Anolis sagrei: one gene and its partner. The protein of the gene in region 2 binds, or shares a complex with, the protein of the main gene of each other region. Links are inferred from orthologs where the notes say so. Each region holds a gene or a part of one and is shown on either strand. Other genes may lie near its edges.

Evidence for each region. Proteins that work in one complex are often made in the same cells at the same time.
Region 1: RBL2 (region 2) and E2F4 share a complex: the UniProt entries of both Homo sapiens proteins name them as parts of the DREAM complex. The link is inferred for Anolis sagrei from reciprocal best matches to the Homo sapiens genes RBL2 and E2F4.

Annotation. Positions count from the first base shown.
Region 1 is NC_090028.1:21,145,670-21,153,215, forward strand, and holds the start of E2F4 (transcription factor E2F4), read right to left. Parts: upstream 3,091-7,546; 5' UTR 3,008-3,090; coding exon 2,876-3,007; intron 1-2,875. Other genes in the region: SDR42E1 (short-chain dehydrogenase/reductase family 42E member 1), read right to left, coding at 4,482-5,583, 6,387-6,526. UniProt on the Homo sapiens protein: Transcription activator that binds DNA cooperatively with DP proteins through the E2 recognition site, 5'-TTTC[CG]CGC-3' found in the promoter region of a number of genes whose products are involved in cell cycle regulation or in DNA replication.
Region 2 is NC_090028.1:34,141,490-34,149,174, reverse strand, and holds the start of RBL2 (retinoblastoma-like protein 2), read right to left. Parts: upstream 3,099-7,685; 5' UTR 3,081-3,098; coding exon 2,781-3,080; intron 1-2,780. UniProt on the Homo sapiens protein: Key regulator of entry into cell division. Directly involved in heterochromatin formation by maintaining overall chromatin structure and, in particular, that of constitutive heterochromatin by stabilizing histone methylation.

The DNA.
Region 1 (7,546 bases), about 13 Mb from region 2:
TATCAAGGCAGAAAATCCCACAATATCTGCTTTGAACTGGTGCATCTGAGTCCACACTCCGATAATGTGAGATTTTCTGCCTTGATATTCTGGGATATAGGGCTGTGTGAAAGGGCACACAGTTAAAAGCAGATACTCTGGGTTACGGGGCTGTGTGGAAGGGCCCTGGTTTATCTGAGCCCACACTGCCATATATCCCAATCCAAAGCAGTTATTGTGGGATTTTATTCAGCTGTGTGGAAGGGGCCTAAGCTTATCTAGACCAGTGGTTCTCAACCTGTGGGCCCCCAAGTGTTTTGGCCTACAACTCCCAGAAATCCTAGCCAGTTTACCGGCTGTTAGGATTTCTAGGAGTTGAAGGTCAAAACATCTGGGGACCCACAGGTTGAGAACCACTGTTTTAGGGATTTTTGTATTCTTGGGGACCCACAGGTTCTCAACCTGTGGGTCCCCAAGTGTTTTGGCCTACAACTCCCAGAAATCGCAGCCAATTTACCGGCTGTTAGGATTTCTGGGAGTTACAAGGCCAAAACATCTAGGGACCCACAGGTTGAGAACCATGCCTTGGTCACCTCTAGATTGGACTACGTGGGGCTGCCCTTGAAAATGGCTCGGAAATTTCAGCTGGTCCAACGGGCGGCGACCAGGTTGTTAACTGGTGCTCCTTACAGAGAGAGGTCAACCCTCCTTTTTAAGGAGCTCCATTGGCTGCCATACATTTTCCGGTCCCAATTCAAGGTGCAGGTGCTAACCTACAAAGCCCTAAACGGTTTGGGACCTGCCTACCTGCGTGACCGCATCTCCGTATATGAACCCAAACGTTCCAGCATCATGTCCCAAACGCACTTTATTAGAGATTTAAGACTGTCTGCACATTGCACCTACCCTAGAATCCTTACATTTCACCTGTCATATCCAGCACTTTTTAACTGTACCCATTACATTTGGCCTGGCCCTAGTTTTTAAATGTGTCACGGTGTATTGTTTTATTGTTTTTATTGTTACTGCTTTTATGTTTTTGGTTGCTTTATGAGTTTTATTATGTATTTGTTATGCTGTTGTTTTACTGAGGCCTTGGCCTGTGTAAGCCGCATCGAGTCCTTCGGGAGATGTTTGTGGGGTACAAATAAAGTTAATAATGATAATAATAATAATAATAACTTAAAAAAATAAATAAGGAGAGAAATATCCCAGTTCAAAGCAGATATTGTGGGATTTTCTGCCTTGATATTCTGGGTTATGGGGCTGCGTGGAAGGGCCCTGAGTGCCAGGGATGCTTGAGAGCAGTACGTGTGAAAGAGATCTTGGAGTCCTCGTGGACAACAAGTTAAACATGAGCCAACAATGTGATGTGGCGGCAAAAAAAGCCAATGGGATTTTGGTCTGCATGAATAGGAGCATAGTGTCAAGATCTAGGGAAGTCATGCTACCCCTCTATTCCGCTTTGGTTAGACCACACTTGGAATATTGTGTCCAATTCTGGGCACCGCAATTCAAGAGAGATATTGACAAGCTGGAATGTGTCCAGAGGAGGGCGACTCAAATGATCAAGGGTCTGGAGAACAAGCCCTATGAGGAGCGGCTTAAGGAGCTGGGCATGTTTAGCCAGAAGAACAGAAGGCTGAGAGGAGATATGATAAAGGTAAAGGTAGTCCCCTGACATTAAGTCCAGTCATGTCTGACTCTGAGGTGTGGTGCTCATCTCCATTTCTAAGTTGAAGAGCCAGCGTTGTCTGTAGACACCTCCAAGGTCATGTGGCCGGCATGACTGCATGGAGCGCTGTTACCGGAGATATGATAGCCATGTATAAATATGTGAGAGGAAGCCACAGGGAGGAGGAGGAGGGAGCAAGCTTGTTTCCTGCTTCTTCCGAATCTTCCTCCAACCATTGATTGTTTTCTCTTGCCTGGCAGAAAGGGGTTGGACATGGATGGCTCATGGGGTCTCTTCCAACTCTATTATTCTATGATTCTATAGGTGGAACCTGAATAATTCCGAGCGTTATGCCCTTCAGTACGTGGAGCAAGCATACATCACAGAATCGGTGAGTGTGTCTGGTATATTGTCTAGTGTTGTCTTGCTACCTTGCGCCTCTAGAGAGGCAAGGGTGGGCTGGGGGAGGGGAAACTGGAACTTCTGTCACAGGGAGGAGGGAGCAAGCTTGTTTTCTGCTTCCCTGGAGATTAAAGACGTGGCTGTTCGAGAAGGCGTTCGAACAAGAAGTGTAATAATTGGCAATGACAACAGGAATGGAACAATGGAAAACGATATTGGTATTTTTGTATTGTTGATATTGAGATTGTGGATGTTGTTGATGACGATGTTTTGATATTGCTAGTTTGTTATTAGATTTTCTCTTGTAATTTGCACCTTATTCTCTCCATGTTGTACACCACTGTGAGTTGCCCCAGGGCTGAGAACAGCGGTCTATAAGCACAGTAAATAAATAAATAAATAAATAGGATGCGGAATAATGGCTTCAAGCTACAAGAGAGGAGATTCCATCTGAACATGAGGAAGAACTTCCTGACTGTGAGAGGCGTTCAGCAGTGGAACTCTCTGCCCCGGAGTGTGGTGGAGGCTTCGAACCTTTTAAACAGAGGCTGGATAACCATCTGTCAGGGGTGATTTGAATGCAATATCCCTGCTTCTTGGCAGAATGGGGTTGGACTGGATGGCCCACGAGGTCTCTTCCAACTCTTTGATTCTATGATTCTATGTCAGGCCCTTTGTGTGGACAAGGAAAGGTCTCCTCCTCCTCCTCTGAAGGGGAGGCAAGAGAGAGGGGGAACCCGCAAGGAGGGAAAAGAAAGCGGGCCAGAGCATCCGCTGCTGGGCCCTGATCTGCCTGATCAGCGCCGTCCTTCCCCTCACCAGCTTGAGGTCGAGCACGCCGTCCTTGGCCTCCTGCAGCAGAGACACGAACTTGGTGGTGAGGAGGCCCAGGCTCTTCTCGTGCCGGCTCGGGCCTCCCCCCGGCGGCTGGGCCCCCGACTCCGACGCCATCCGCCCGGCCCCGCGCCGCTTCCGGGATCCCGCTGCGGCCCCTCGCGCTGACCCTTCCGCCGCTTCCGGCCACCGCAGGGCATGATGGGAGGCGGCCAGAAAGGGAGGCGAGGGATAGGTGGAGCTCGAGGCCCCGCCCCCTCCACGAGGCCTCACCCCGCCCCCTCTCCACTAGGCCCCGCCCCTTCGCCTCGAGAGGAACATCAGCCCCGCAGCGACCCCTGCTGGGCGCCCGCGCTTTTCGCAGGCAGTCCCCTCTGAGCCGCGAGGGATTTTCAGGGACTGCGCATGCGTGAAAGTATTCCACAGTGTATTGTCGAAGGCTTTCATGGCCATTGAAATCCACAAGCATGTGGACAATTTCAACAGAAAGGAGGAAACCATGAAAATGAAGAAAATCTGGCTACTCTAAAATTACAACAGCAAAACAACAGAGGAAAAACAATCAGGCACATCTAATCACCTCTCAACAAAAGATTGCCCCAGGCACTGCCAGGCCATTAAATGCTAATAAAAGTGGTCTGATTGTTTTTCCTCTGTTGTTTTGCTGTTGTAATTTTAGAGCTTTTTGGATCATTACAGATAGGCCTGGTTGCTTTCCTGCAGATTTTAGGGATGTCTGTCGCACAAATGTAATGGGGAGCTTCTGGATTAATGCAAAATAAGCAATAAATCACACCTTATGTTTGTATGTATGTGTGTATATATATGCGCACGCATGCACCCTCATACATTTTGTGATTACAACTGATGCATATTTCCATAGTAGTAACTATGGAAAAACAATAAAAATACTTTTAAAAAAACAACAACTGATGCATATGAGGGTATCACAGGGGGTTAGCTTAACGTCTGGTTCGTTAGTAAAACTAAATTGCTGTATCACATCATGATACACGTCGAAGCAAGGTGAAATGTTTGGAAAGGTCTGACCTAGAGATCCCTATAGATCTCTAGATCCTCCACCATGACATTATGGACAATGCGCAGTGGAAATTGAACACAGAGTTGCCTTGGAAGGAGGACCAAGCAATTTTTGGGGAAAATATTTTGATGAATTAATCCAATCCACCACCAACCTGTAAACGTGGAGGCTCAACCGTATTTCTGATTTTGGAATTCTGGGTGATAATAATAACAGTAACAAGAACAATATATATATTTTTATTTATATCCCATCATATTTCCCTGAGGGAACTCAGGGTAGTTTACAACAGATATCGGCAAACATTCAATGTCATAATAGGATGAGCGCCGCTCAGCCTGTATTTGTATTTTGGCACCATTGCAAAGACCCAACAGGATTGGGCAATGCTGTTATTATTATTATTATTATTATTATTATTATTATTATTATTATTATTATTATTATATTTATTTACACCCTGCTTTCTCTCCCCTGAAGGGGACTCAAAGTAGCTTGACATCAAAGAATCAGCATCAATGCTAGTATCTCCTCGTTCTGTTGGAGGCTTTAAGCCCTTGGGAGCCACGAAAGGACGACCGCCACAGCCAAGGCGAGCAGCACCGCCGTGCACCAGAGCCAGTGCTTTGATGCTGCATTACTGCCCACCCTCCGCCCGTGGCCATGGGACCGGAACCACTGAACTGCATCCTCAAGGCTGTACTGCCGAGGCTCATAGCCCAGCTCCCTCTTGGCCTTCTCTGGGCTGAAGTAGTGGGTCACACCGGTCTTGTAGACCTCAGTGCGCGTGAGCAGCGGCTGGAAGTTGTATAGGTGCCGCACTGCCAAGTGAAGCATTTCTGTCAGGAATGCAAAGAAGTAGATCAGCGAGAGGGGGAGGCGGAGCGTGGGGAACGGGTAGCCCAGGCCTTCCACTAGTGGCTGGAAAAACTCAAAGTTGTTGACCGGCCGGCCATCGGAAATGAAGTAAGCCTGTCCAGCTGCCCGGTGCGCCTTGCTGGGCCCCAGAGCCTCTGCTGCCAAAATGTGTGCCTGCACCAGGTTGTCCACGTGCACAAAGTCCACCTGGCTCTTGGGGTCTCCATACACAAACCGGAACCATCCCCGCTCCACATAACGGACAATTCTGGGCAGGTGCCTCTGCTCTCCGGGGCCATAGATGCCAGCTGGCCGCAAGGCGCATGTATGCAGGACCCCCCGGCCAGCCCCCCGCAGAGGTGTCCCGTTGGCACCCAGCACCTCCATCTCGGCCTGAGCTTTGGTCCTGGAGTAGTGGTCGGGGTGCAGATGCAAGGGGAGGTAGGGCAAGGACTCGTCCCCACTGTGCACCACCTGACCCCCAAAGACCACGTTGTAGGTGCTGGTATACACCAGCCGCGGGACCCCTGCCTCTCGGGCTGCACGGAGGACGTTGCGTGTCCCACCCACGTTTACGGCTTCAATGCGCTTCCGGCTGAGCTGTTCCCGCCCGGACATCCCGAAGGACGCAACATGGAAGATGCAGGTGACCCCTCGGAGTGCTTGCTCCACCTCGCAGGGGAAGCGTACATCGCCGCGCACGAAACGCACACCTTCAGGCAGCTCTGGGGGGGACTCCGATGCGTCGAACAGGACCACGTCCACGCCCTTCAAGGAGAGGGAGCAGCCCAGCCTGCAACACAAAGAGGGAGGGAAACCACCTTCAGGACCAAGGCTCTCCCTTCATCAAAGCAGGGAGATTCTCCTGCAAATGCAGAACCCATTTTATTTATTTATATCCTGCTTTTCTCCCCCATTGGAGAGTCAAAGTGGCTGACAGCAAGGTATAAAACGTAACAGGTGTGTCTATTTCCATTTATTCCACACTGCACACCTCATGGGCCATCCAGTCCAACCCCATTCTGCCAAGAAGCAGGAATATTGCATTCAAATCACCCGACAGATGGCCATCCAGCCTCTGTTTAAAAGTTTCCAAAGAAGGAGCCTCCACCACACTCCGGGGCAGAGAGTTCCACTGCTGAACGGCTCTCACAGTCAGGAAGTTCTTCCTCATGTTCAGATGGAATCTCCTTTCTTGTAGTTTGAAGCCTTTGTTTCACGTCCTAGTCTCCAGGGCAGCAGAAAACAAGCTTGCTCCCTCCTCCCTGTGGCTTCCTCTCACATATTTATACATGGCTATCATATCTCCTCTCATCCTTCTCTTCTTCAGGCTAAACATGCCCAGCTCCTTAAGCCGCTCCTCATAGGGCTTGTTCTCCAGACCCTTGATCATTTTAGTCACCCTTCTCTGGACACATTACAGCTTGTGTCCAGCCTACAGGGACCTAAGTCCAAAAGACTTGAAGGGAGGGCCCAAGTTGGCCCATGCCTAGTCTCAACTGAGCACATGACGCTGTTTCAGAATGTGAGGATGGGGCCCAGGAAAGTCGCCCGAGCTCCCTCAGGAAGAGACTGCCTGGCGCTAGGCACACTGACCGGAAGCCAAAGTACCCGGCTCCACCGGTGATGAGGACCGTCTCCCGGGCGGGGGCGCGGGCCTCTTTCTCCTCCTTGTCCTCCTCCTCCGCCATGTCCAGCCTTTTGGCCCCGTCTGGGGACTTGTTGGCTCCTCCCATCAGCCCCTGCAAAGGGAGGTGAAAAGGGAAAGAGGAAATGACACGGAATTGAAAATGGAAGAGAATACAATCTATATAAATAAAAATGTAATGTTCGTTTGTGGGATTCACAGAACCTCAAAACCACTGGACGAATTGACACCAAATTTGGACACAAGACACCTAACAACCCAATGCATGTCCTTCACTCAAAAACATTGATTTTGTCATTTGGGAATTGTTGTTGCTGGGATTTATAGTTTACCTACAATCAAAGAGCATTCTGAACTCCACCAATGATGGAATTCAACCAAACTTAGCACACAGGGCTCCCATGACCAACAGAACACACTGGAAGGGTTTGGTGGGCATTGACCTTGAGTTTGGGAGTTGTAGTTCATCTACATCCAGAGACCACTGTGGACTCAAACAATGATGGATCTGGACCAAACTCTACACAGATACTCAATATGCAAACAATGATGGATCTGGACCAAACTTGGCACGAATATTCCATATGCCCAAATATGAACACAGATGGAGTTTAAGGGAAATAGACCTTGACATTTGGGAGTTGTAGTTGTTGGGATTTATAGTTCACCTACAATCAAAGAGCATTCTGAACTCCACCAATGATGGAATTGAACCAAACTTGGCACACAGAACTCCCCATGACCAACAGAACACACTGGAGGGGTTTGGTGGGCATTGGCCTTGAGTTTTGGAGTTGTAGTTCACCTACATCCAGAGATCACTTTGGACTCAAACAATGATAGATGTGGACCCTACTCTACACAAATACTCCATATGCCCAAATGTGAACACTGGTGGAGTTTGGGGAAAATAGAATCTTGACATTTGGGAGTTGTAGTTGCTGGGATTTATAGTTCACCTACAATCAAAGAGCATTCAGAACCCCACCAACGATGCAATTGAGCCAAACTTGGCACACAGTTCTCCCATGACCAACAAGAAATACTGGAAGGGTTTGGTGGGCATTGATCTTGAGTTTTGGAGTTGTAGTTCACCTACATCCAGAGA
Region 2 (7,685 bases):
CCTTACAGGTTTGTATAGAAGAGGGGATCCAATATCCACAACGAAAGGGCTTCTATTCCTTTAAGGTTTGTATGGATGAGGGAATTTAATAATAACTAGCCATCCCCTGCCATGCATTGCTGTGGCCCGGTCTGTGTATATGTGTATATGTGTGTGTATATATTTTTGTATATATGTGTGTTTGCGTATATATATATATATATATATGTGTGTGTGTGTGTGTGTGTGTGTATTTGTGTGTTTATATGTGTGCATGTATATGTGCATGTGTGTATATGTGTATATTTGTGCATATATATACATGTGTGTGTATGAATGTATACATGTATATATGTATATGAGTGTATGTGTATATGTATATATGGTGTATTTTGGGGGTTTTTAAGTCTGTTCGCTGGGGTTTTGTGCGCGCGCGTGTGTTTATGGGTGATGGACACTCATTGGACTGTTAGGTGTATTGTGTCCAAATTTCGTGTCAATTCATCCAGTGGTTTTTGAGTTCTGTTAACCCCACAAATGAACATTACATTTTTATTAATATAGATAATAATAATAACAATAATAACAGGACTCCTGTTCCTTAAAGGTTTGTACAGAAGAAGGGATCCAATATGATCAACAACAGTGCTTTTGCTCCTTTAAGGTTTGTATAGAAAAAGGGATCCAATATCAACACCACCACCACCAAGTCTGTATGGAAGAGGGAATTTAATAATAAAAAATAACAACAGGACTACTGTTTTTTAAGGTTTGTATAAAAGAGGAGATCCAATATCAACAATAACAGGCACCCGTTCCTTACAGGTTTGTATAGAAGAGGGGAGATAATAATTATAATAACAATAATAACAGGACTCCTATTCCTTTAAGTCAGTGTTTCTCAAGCTTCCTAATGCTGTGACCCCTTAATACACTTCCTCATGTTGTGTTGACCCCCAACCATAACATTATTTTCGTTGCTACTTCATAACTGTGATGTTGCTCCTGTTATGAACCGCAATGTAAATATCTGATATGCAGGATGCATTTTCATTCCCTGGACCCAATTTGGAACAAATACCTGATACATCCACATTTGAATACTGGTGGGATGGGGGGTGGATGGGTTAATTTGTTATTTTGGAGTTGTAGTTGCTGGGATTTATAGTTCACCTACAATCACAGAGTATTCTGAACTCCACCAAAGATGGAATTGAACCAGACTTGGCACACAGAACTCCCCTGACCCAATTTTGAATACTGGTGGGGTTGTGAGGGTGATTGATTTTGTCATTTGGGAGTTGTAGTTGCTGGGATTTTTTCACCTACAATCAAAGAGCATTTTGAACTCCACCAACAATGGAACTGCACACAGAACTCTCATGGCCAACAGAAAATACTGGGTTTGTTGGGCATTGACCTTGAGTTTTGGGAGTTGCAGTTCACCTACATCCAGAGAGCACTGTGGACTCAAACAATGATGGATCTGGACCAAACTTGGTACAAATACTCAATATGCCCAAATGTGAATAGTGGTGAGGTTTGGGGAAAATAATATATTGTCGAAGGCTTTCATGGCTGGAATCACTAGGTTCTTGTGGGTTTTTTCGGGCTATAGAGCCATGTTCTAGAGGCATTTCTTCTGACGTTTCGCCTGCGCCCAGACGCGCATCAAGGAACATGAAAGTCACTGCAGACTACTTCAACCAGAGAAGTCAGCCATAGCAGAGCACCTGATGAATCAGCCTGGACACAGCATATTATTTGAGAACACAGAAATGCTGGACCACCCTCACAACCACCATGTCAGACTACACAGAGAAGCCACTGAAATACACAAGCATGTGGACAATTTCAACAGAAAGGAAGAGACCATGAAAATGAACAAAATCTGGCTACCACTATTATAAAAAACTCTAAAATTACAACAGCAAAACAACAGAGAGGAAACAACCAGGCACATCTTAACACCTCCCAGCAAGAGATTTTCCCAGGCTCAGGCAGGCCTTCAAATGCTAATGAAGGTGATCAGCTGAAACATTCACACCTAACTGCAGCAGGGAAGAGCTCTTTGCCCCACCCCAGCCGTTCCACAGATATATAAACCCATTGTCCTAATTCCAACAGACCTCACTACCTCTGAGGATGCTTGCCATAGATGCAGGCGAAACGTCAGGAGAAATGCCTCTAGAACATGGCCATATAGCCCGAAAAAACCCACAAGAACCTAATAGGACGACTGTTCTTTAAAGGTTTGTATAAAAGAGGAGATCCAATATCAACAATAACAGGCTTACAGGTACTGTATACAGGTTTGTATAGAAGAGGGGAGATAATAATAACAATAATAACAAGAATGAGATAACACCTTAGGACCCTGGATGGAAGTTGATGTAGACCCATCTTAATAGGACGACTGACCACTATAGTGTTTACATATAGTGTTTTTGTAATCTGTGATATATGGTATTTTAATGAGTGTTTGTTTTTATGGCTGGAAACCGGGCTGAGTCCCTCAACGAGGTTGAGAAGCTCGGTATAGAAAACTGTGAAATAAATAAACAAACAATAATAATAATAATAATGACTTAAAGGACTCCTATTCCTTTAAGTTTTGTATGGAAGAGAGGGTCTAATGTCAATCACAACAGACCTCCCTCAACCAGTCTGGCCCCGCCCCCTGGCACAAGCCCCGCCCCATTAAGGAAGGCCCCGCCCTTCTGTCACAAGCCCCGCCCCATTAAGGAAGGCCCCGCCCCTCTGGCACAAGCCCCGCCCCCTCTCCGAGAAGCCCCTCCCACCTCGAGAGTGTAGTTCCTCCTCATGCCCTGGAAGCTGAGCCAGGCCTCGGCCCGGGCCCTCTCGTCCATGTTGAGGCTGCAGCAGAGCTCCTCGTAGCGCTGCCGGGTGTCTCCGTCGTCGTCCTCCGCCTCTTCCTCCTCCTCATCCTCCTCCGGGCTGCCTTTCCCTTCCTCCTCCTCCTCGGGCGCCTCCGCCGCTCCCTCGCCGCCTCCCCCTCCGTCGTCTCCGCCGCCCAACATGGTGTTGACTGAGGGGCGTCGTGAGGGGATGGCGCTCGCGCACTGCCGCTCACCACGCATGCGCCGCTGGAAGGGAGGGATTGTTTTTTTCCTTCTTCCTCCGCGTTCGAATCTAAACACCTCACCCCTCCCGTCCTCTGCGCTGATTGGGTGCCAGGGGTAGAACTCCCGCCAATCAGCGCGCTGCTTGTGCGCAGGCGCGCCTGTGGGGGCTTTTAAAAAATAAATGCCGTCACTTTTGCTGCGGACTACATTTCCCACAAAGCTTCGCGCTCCCGGATGAAAACAGTAGTGCAGTGATTCTCAACCTGGGGGTCGGGACCCCTGTGGGGGTCACGAGAGGGTGTCAGAGGGATCGCCAAAGACCATCAGAAAACATAGTATTTTTTGTTGGTCATGGGGGTTCTGTGTGGGAATTTTGGTCCAATTCTATCACTGGTGAGGTTCAGAATGCTATTTCATTGTGGGTGAACTATACATCCCAGCAACTACAACTCCCAAATGCTGAGGTCTATTTTCCCCAAACTCCACTAGTGTTCACATTTGGGGATATTGAGTATTTGTGCCAAGTTTAGTCCAGATCCATCATTGTTTTTGGCCACAGTACTCTCTGGATGTAGGTGAACTACAACTCCAAAAATTCAAGGTCAATGTCCACCAGACCCTTCCAGTATTTCCTCTTGGTCATGGGAGTTCAGTGTGCGAAGTTTGGTTCAATTCCATCGTTGGTGAACTTCAGAATACTCTTTGATTGTAGGTGAACTATACATCCCAGCAACTACAACTACCAAATGACAAAATCATTCCCCCCAACCCCACCAGTATTCAAATTTGGGCGTATTGGGTATTTGGGCCATATTTGGTCCAGTGAATGAAAATCCATCCTGCATATCTGATATTTACATAACGATTCATAACAGTAGCAAAATTACAGTTATGAAGTAGCAATGAAAATAATGTTATGGTTGGGGGTCACCACAACATGAGGAACTATACTAAGGGGTCGCGGCATTAGGAAGGTTGAGAACCACTGCAGTAGTGGGAGGTTGTTGTAGGTTTTCCAGGCTATATGGCCATGTTCTAGAGCAGTGGTTCTCAACTTTCCTAATGCCGCGACCCCTTAGTACAGGTCCTCATGTTGTGGTGACCCCCCAACCATAACGTTATTTTCGTTGCTATTTCATAACTGTAATTTTGCTACTGTTATGAATTGTAATGTAAATATCTGATATGCAGAAAGGATGTATTTTTAGTCACTGGACCAAATTTGGCACAAATACCCGATACGCCCAAAATTTGAATACTGATGGGGTTGGGGGTGATTGATTTTGTCATTTGGTAATGCTGGAGTTGCTGGGATTTATAGTTCACCATAAATCAAAGAGCCTTCTGAACTCCATCAATGATGGAATTGAATCAAACATGGCACACAGAATTCCCATGACCAAGAGAAAACACTGGGAAGGTCTGGTGGACATTGACCTTGAGTTTTTGGAGTTGTAGTTCACCTACATCCAGTGAACACTGTGGACTCAAGCAATGATGGATCTGGATCAAACTTGGCACAAATACGCAATATGCCCAAATGTGAACACTGGTAGAGTTTGGAGAAAATAGACCTTGCCATTTGGGAGTTGTAGTTGTTGGAATTTATAGTTCACCAACAATGAAATAGCATTCTGAACCCCACCAATGATAGAATTGGACCAAACTTTCCACACAGAACCCCCATGCCCAACAGAAAATACTATGTTTTCTGATGGTCTTTGGTGACCCCTCTGACACCCCCTTGCGACCCCCACAGGGGTCCCGACCCCCAGGTTGAGAAACACTGTTCTAGAGGCATTTTCTCCTGACGTTTCGCCTGCATCTATGGCAAGCATCCTCAGAGGTAGTGAGGTCTGTTGGAAGTAGGAAAATGGGTTCATATATCTGTGGAATGACCAGGGTGGGACAAAGGACTCTTGTCTGTTGGAGCTAGGTGGGAATGTTTCAACTGGCCACCTTGATTACCATTTAATGGCTTGGAAGTGCCTGGGGGAATCTTTCTTTGAGAGGTGATTTGATGTTTAGAGTGTTTAGAGTGGCTTGTAGGTCTTCTGAATGCACACAGACAACGTCATCAGCATACTGTAGTTCTATAAGAGATGTTGTTGTAACCTTGTTTTTGGCTTTCAGTCTGCTGAGGTTAAATAGCTTGCCATCTGTTTGATAGATAATTTCCACAGTAACAGTCAGAACTTATCATGGAACAACAGACTGGTACAAGATTGGGAAAGGAGTACGGCAGGGTTGTATACTCCCACCCAACCTATTCAACTTGTATGCAGAACACATCATGCAATGTGCGGGGCTTGACGAATGCAAGGCTGGGGTGAAAATTGCTGGAAGAAACATTAACAACCTCAGATATGCAGATGACACCACTCTGATGGCCGAAAGCGAGGAGGAGCTGAGGAGCCTTCTAATCAAGGTGAAAGAAGAAAGCGCAAAAGCCGGGTTGCAGCTAAACATCAAAAAAACCAAGATTATGGCAACAAGAATGATTGACAACTGGAAAATAGAGGGAGAAAATGTGGAGGCCGTGACAGACTTTATAGTTCTAGGTGCAAAAAAAATCAAAAGATGTTTATATCTTGGGAGGAGAGCAATGACCAATCTCGATAAAATAGTGAAGAGTAGAGTAGAGACATCACACTGGCAACCAAGATCCGCATAGTTAAAAGCAATGGTATTCCATGTAGTAACCTACGGATGTGAGAGCTGGACCATAAGGAAGGCTGAGCGAAGGAAGATAAGACACTTTTGAACTGTGGTGCTGGAGGAAAGTTCTGAGAGTGCCTTGGACCACGAGAAGATCCAACCAGTCCAGGAAATAAAGCCCGGCTGCTCATTGGAGGGAAGGAGATTAGAGGCAAAGATGAAGTACTATGGCCACATCATGAGAAGACAGGAAAGCTTGAAGATAATGATGCTGGGGAAAATGGAAGGAAAAAGAAAGAGGGGCCGGCCAAAGACAAGATGGATGGATGGATGGTATCCTTGAAGTGACCGACTTGACTTTGTAGGAGTTGGGGGTGATGGCGGCTGACGGAGCTCTAGCGTGGGCTGGTCCACGAGGTCACAAAGAGTCGGAAGTGATTCAATGAATAAACAACAACAGGCCCAGAAGGATGGGGCTTCTGGGAGTTGAAGTCCAAAAACACCAATCAGGCCTTAAATCTCTCTATAAAAAGCCAAAGTGTCTTGGTGTTGCTTGGTTTGTACCACAAAGGCTCCTCCAGGGCTTGATGCATCAGGACCAAACTTGGCACACATTGCCTTCATGATCCAACCTAAAAATACTTGAGAGGTTTGAACTGAAAGAACCACTCTTTTCAGATCCAGAGCAGAGAAAGAAAGGAACAAAGCAGATTGGCTGTGGCTCTGTGAAGTGGTTCTCTATCAGGTGACTGGGGAATAAAGGAAGTGAAGGAGACTGGCTTTTGCTAGATGATGTGAATGCGGGAGAAGGAAAAGGAAAAGAGGAAGGGAAGAAATAAGTCACAGGAAGAGAAAAGGAAAGGATGAAGACAGGAAAAGATTGAAGAAAGAAAAGGGAAGAGGAAGAAAGTGAAGAAAGTAAAAGAAAGGAAGGAAAGGGACACAGGAAGGGAGTGAAGAAAGAAAAAGAAGGAAAGAGGAAGGAAGGAAAGAAACAGGAAGGGAGTGAAGAAGGAAAAAAGGGAAGAGAAAGGAAGAAAATTGACACAGGAAGGGAGTGAAGAAAAAAAAAGAAGAGGAAGGAAAGAAAAAAGGGACACAGGAAGAGTGTGTATAGAAAAAAGAAGGGAAGCAGAAGAAAGGAAGAAAAGAAAAGGGACACAGGAAGGGAGCGAAGAAGAAAAAAGGAAGAAAAGAAAAGGGACATAGGAAGGGAGTGAAGAAGGAAAAAGGGAAGCAGAAGGAAGATCATGACAGGGAGTGCAGAAAGAATGAAGGGAAGAGGAAGGAAGGAAAGACGGATATAGGAAGGGAGCAGAAAGGAGACAGGAAAAGATTGAAGAGAGAGAAAAAGGAAGAGAAGAAATAAGGAAGAGAAGAAATAAGGAAGAGAAAAAAAGGAAGAGAAGAAATAAGAGAAGAAATAATAAGTTGTATGAGGGATATCAAGGGAAGAAGGAAAGAAAAGAGGGAAGTCTATGAACAAATCGAGGAAGGAAAGAAACATTGAAAATGCATACTGGGAAGGTTAAGTGACATAGTCCTCACACACTTGGAGGTTGCAATAGACTGGAACACTACTGTTATTTTCGGTAATAAACTTTTGGCACTCAAGCATTGTAAGGGCTTGGACTGGATGGCCCTTGAGGTCTCCTCCAACTCTTCGATTCCATGAATAAATTCCCCAAATAGTGAATGGCTTCAGGAATCAACTGCTTTGCAAATCCGTACAACTGAACTTTGTAATGTACTGAGGCCAACATCATGGGTTGTCAAAGAATATGTTTAATAAAAAATAATTAAACTTCCATTTGCTCTATAGAACATCATAGAAAGTAATTCAATAAATTACAAAGGACTCTTAAGACGCTTGTTCAACTACAAGAAAGCAAAATCCGGACTACACAGAACACAACTGGCAAATATTGCAAAACGTTCAAAAGAAAAGAAACGGGACCAGGA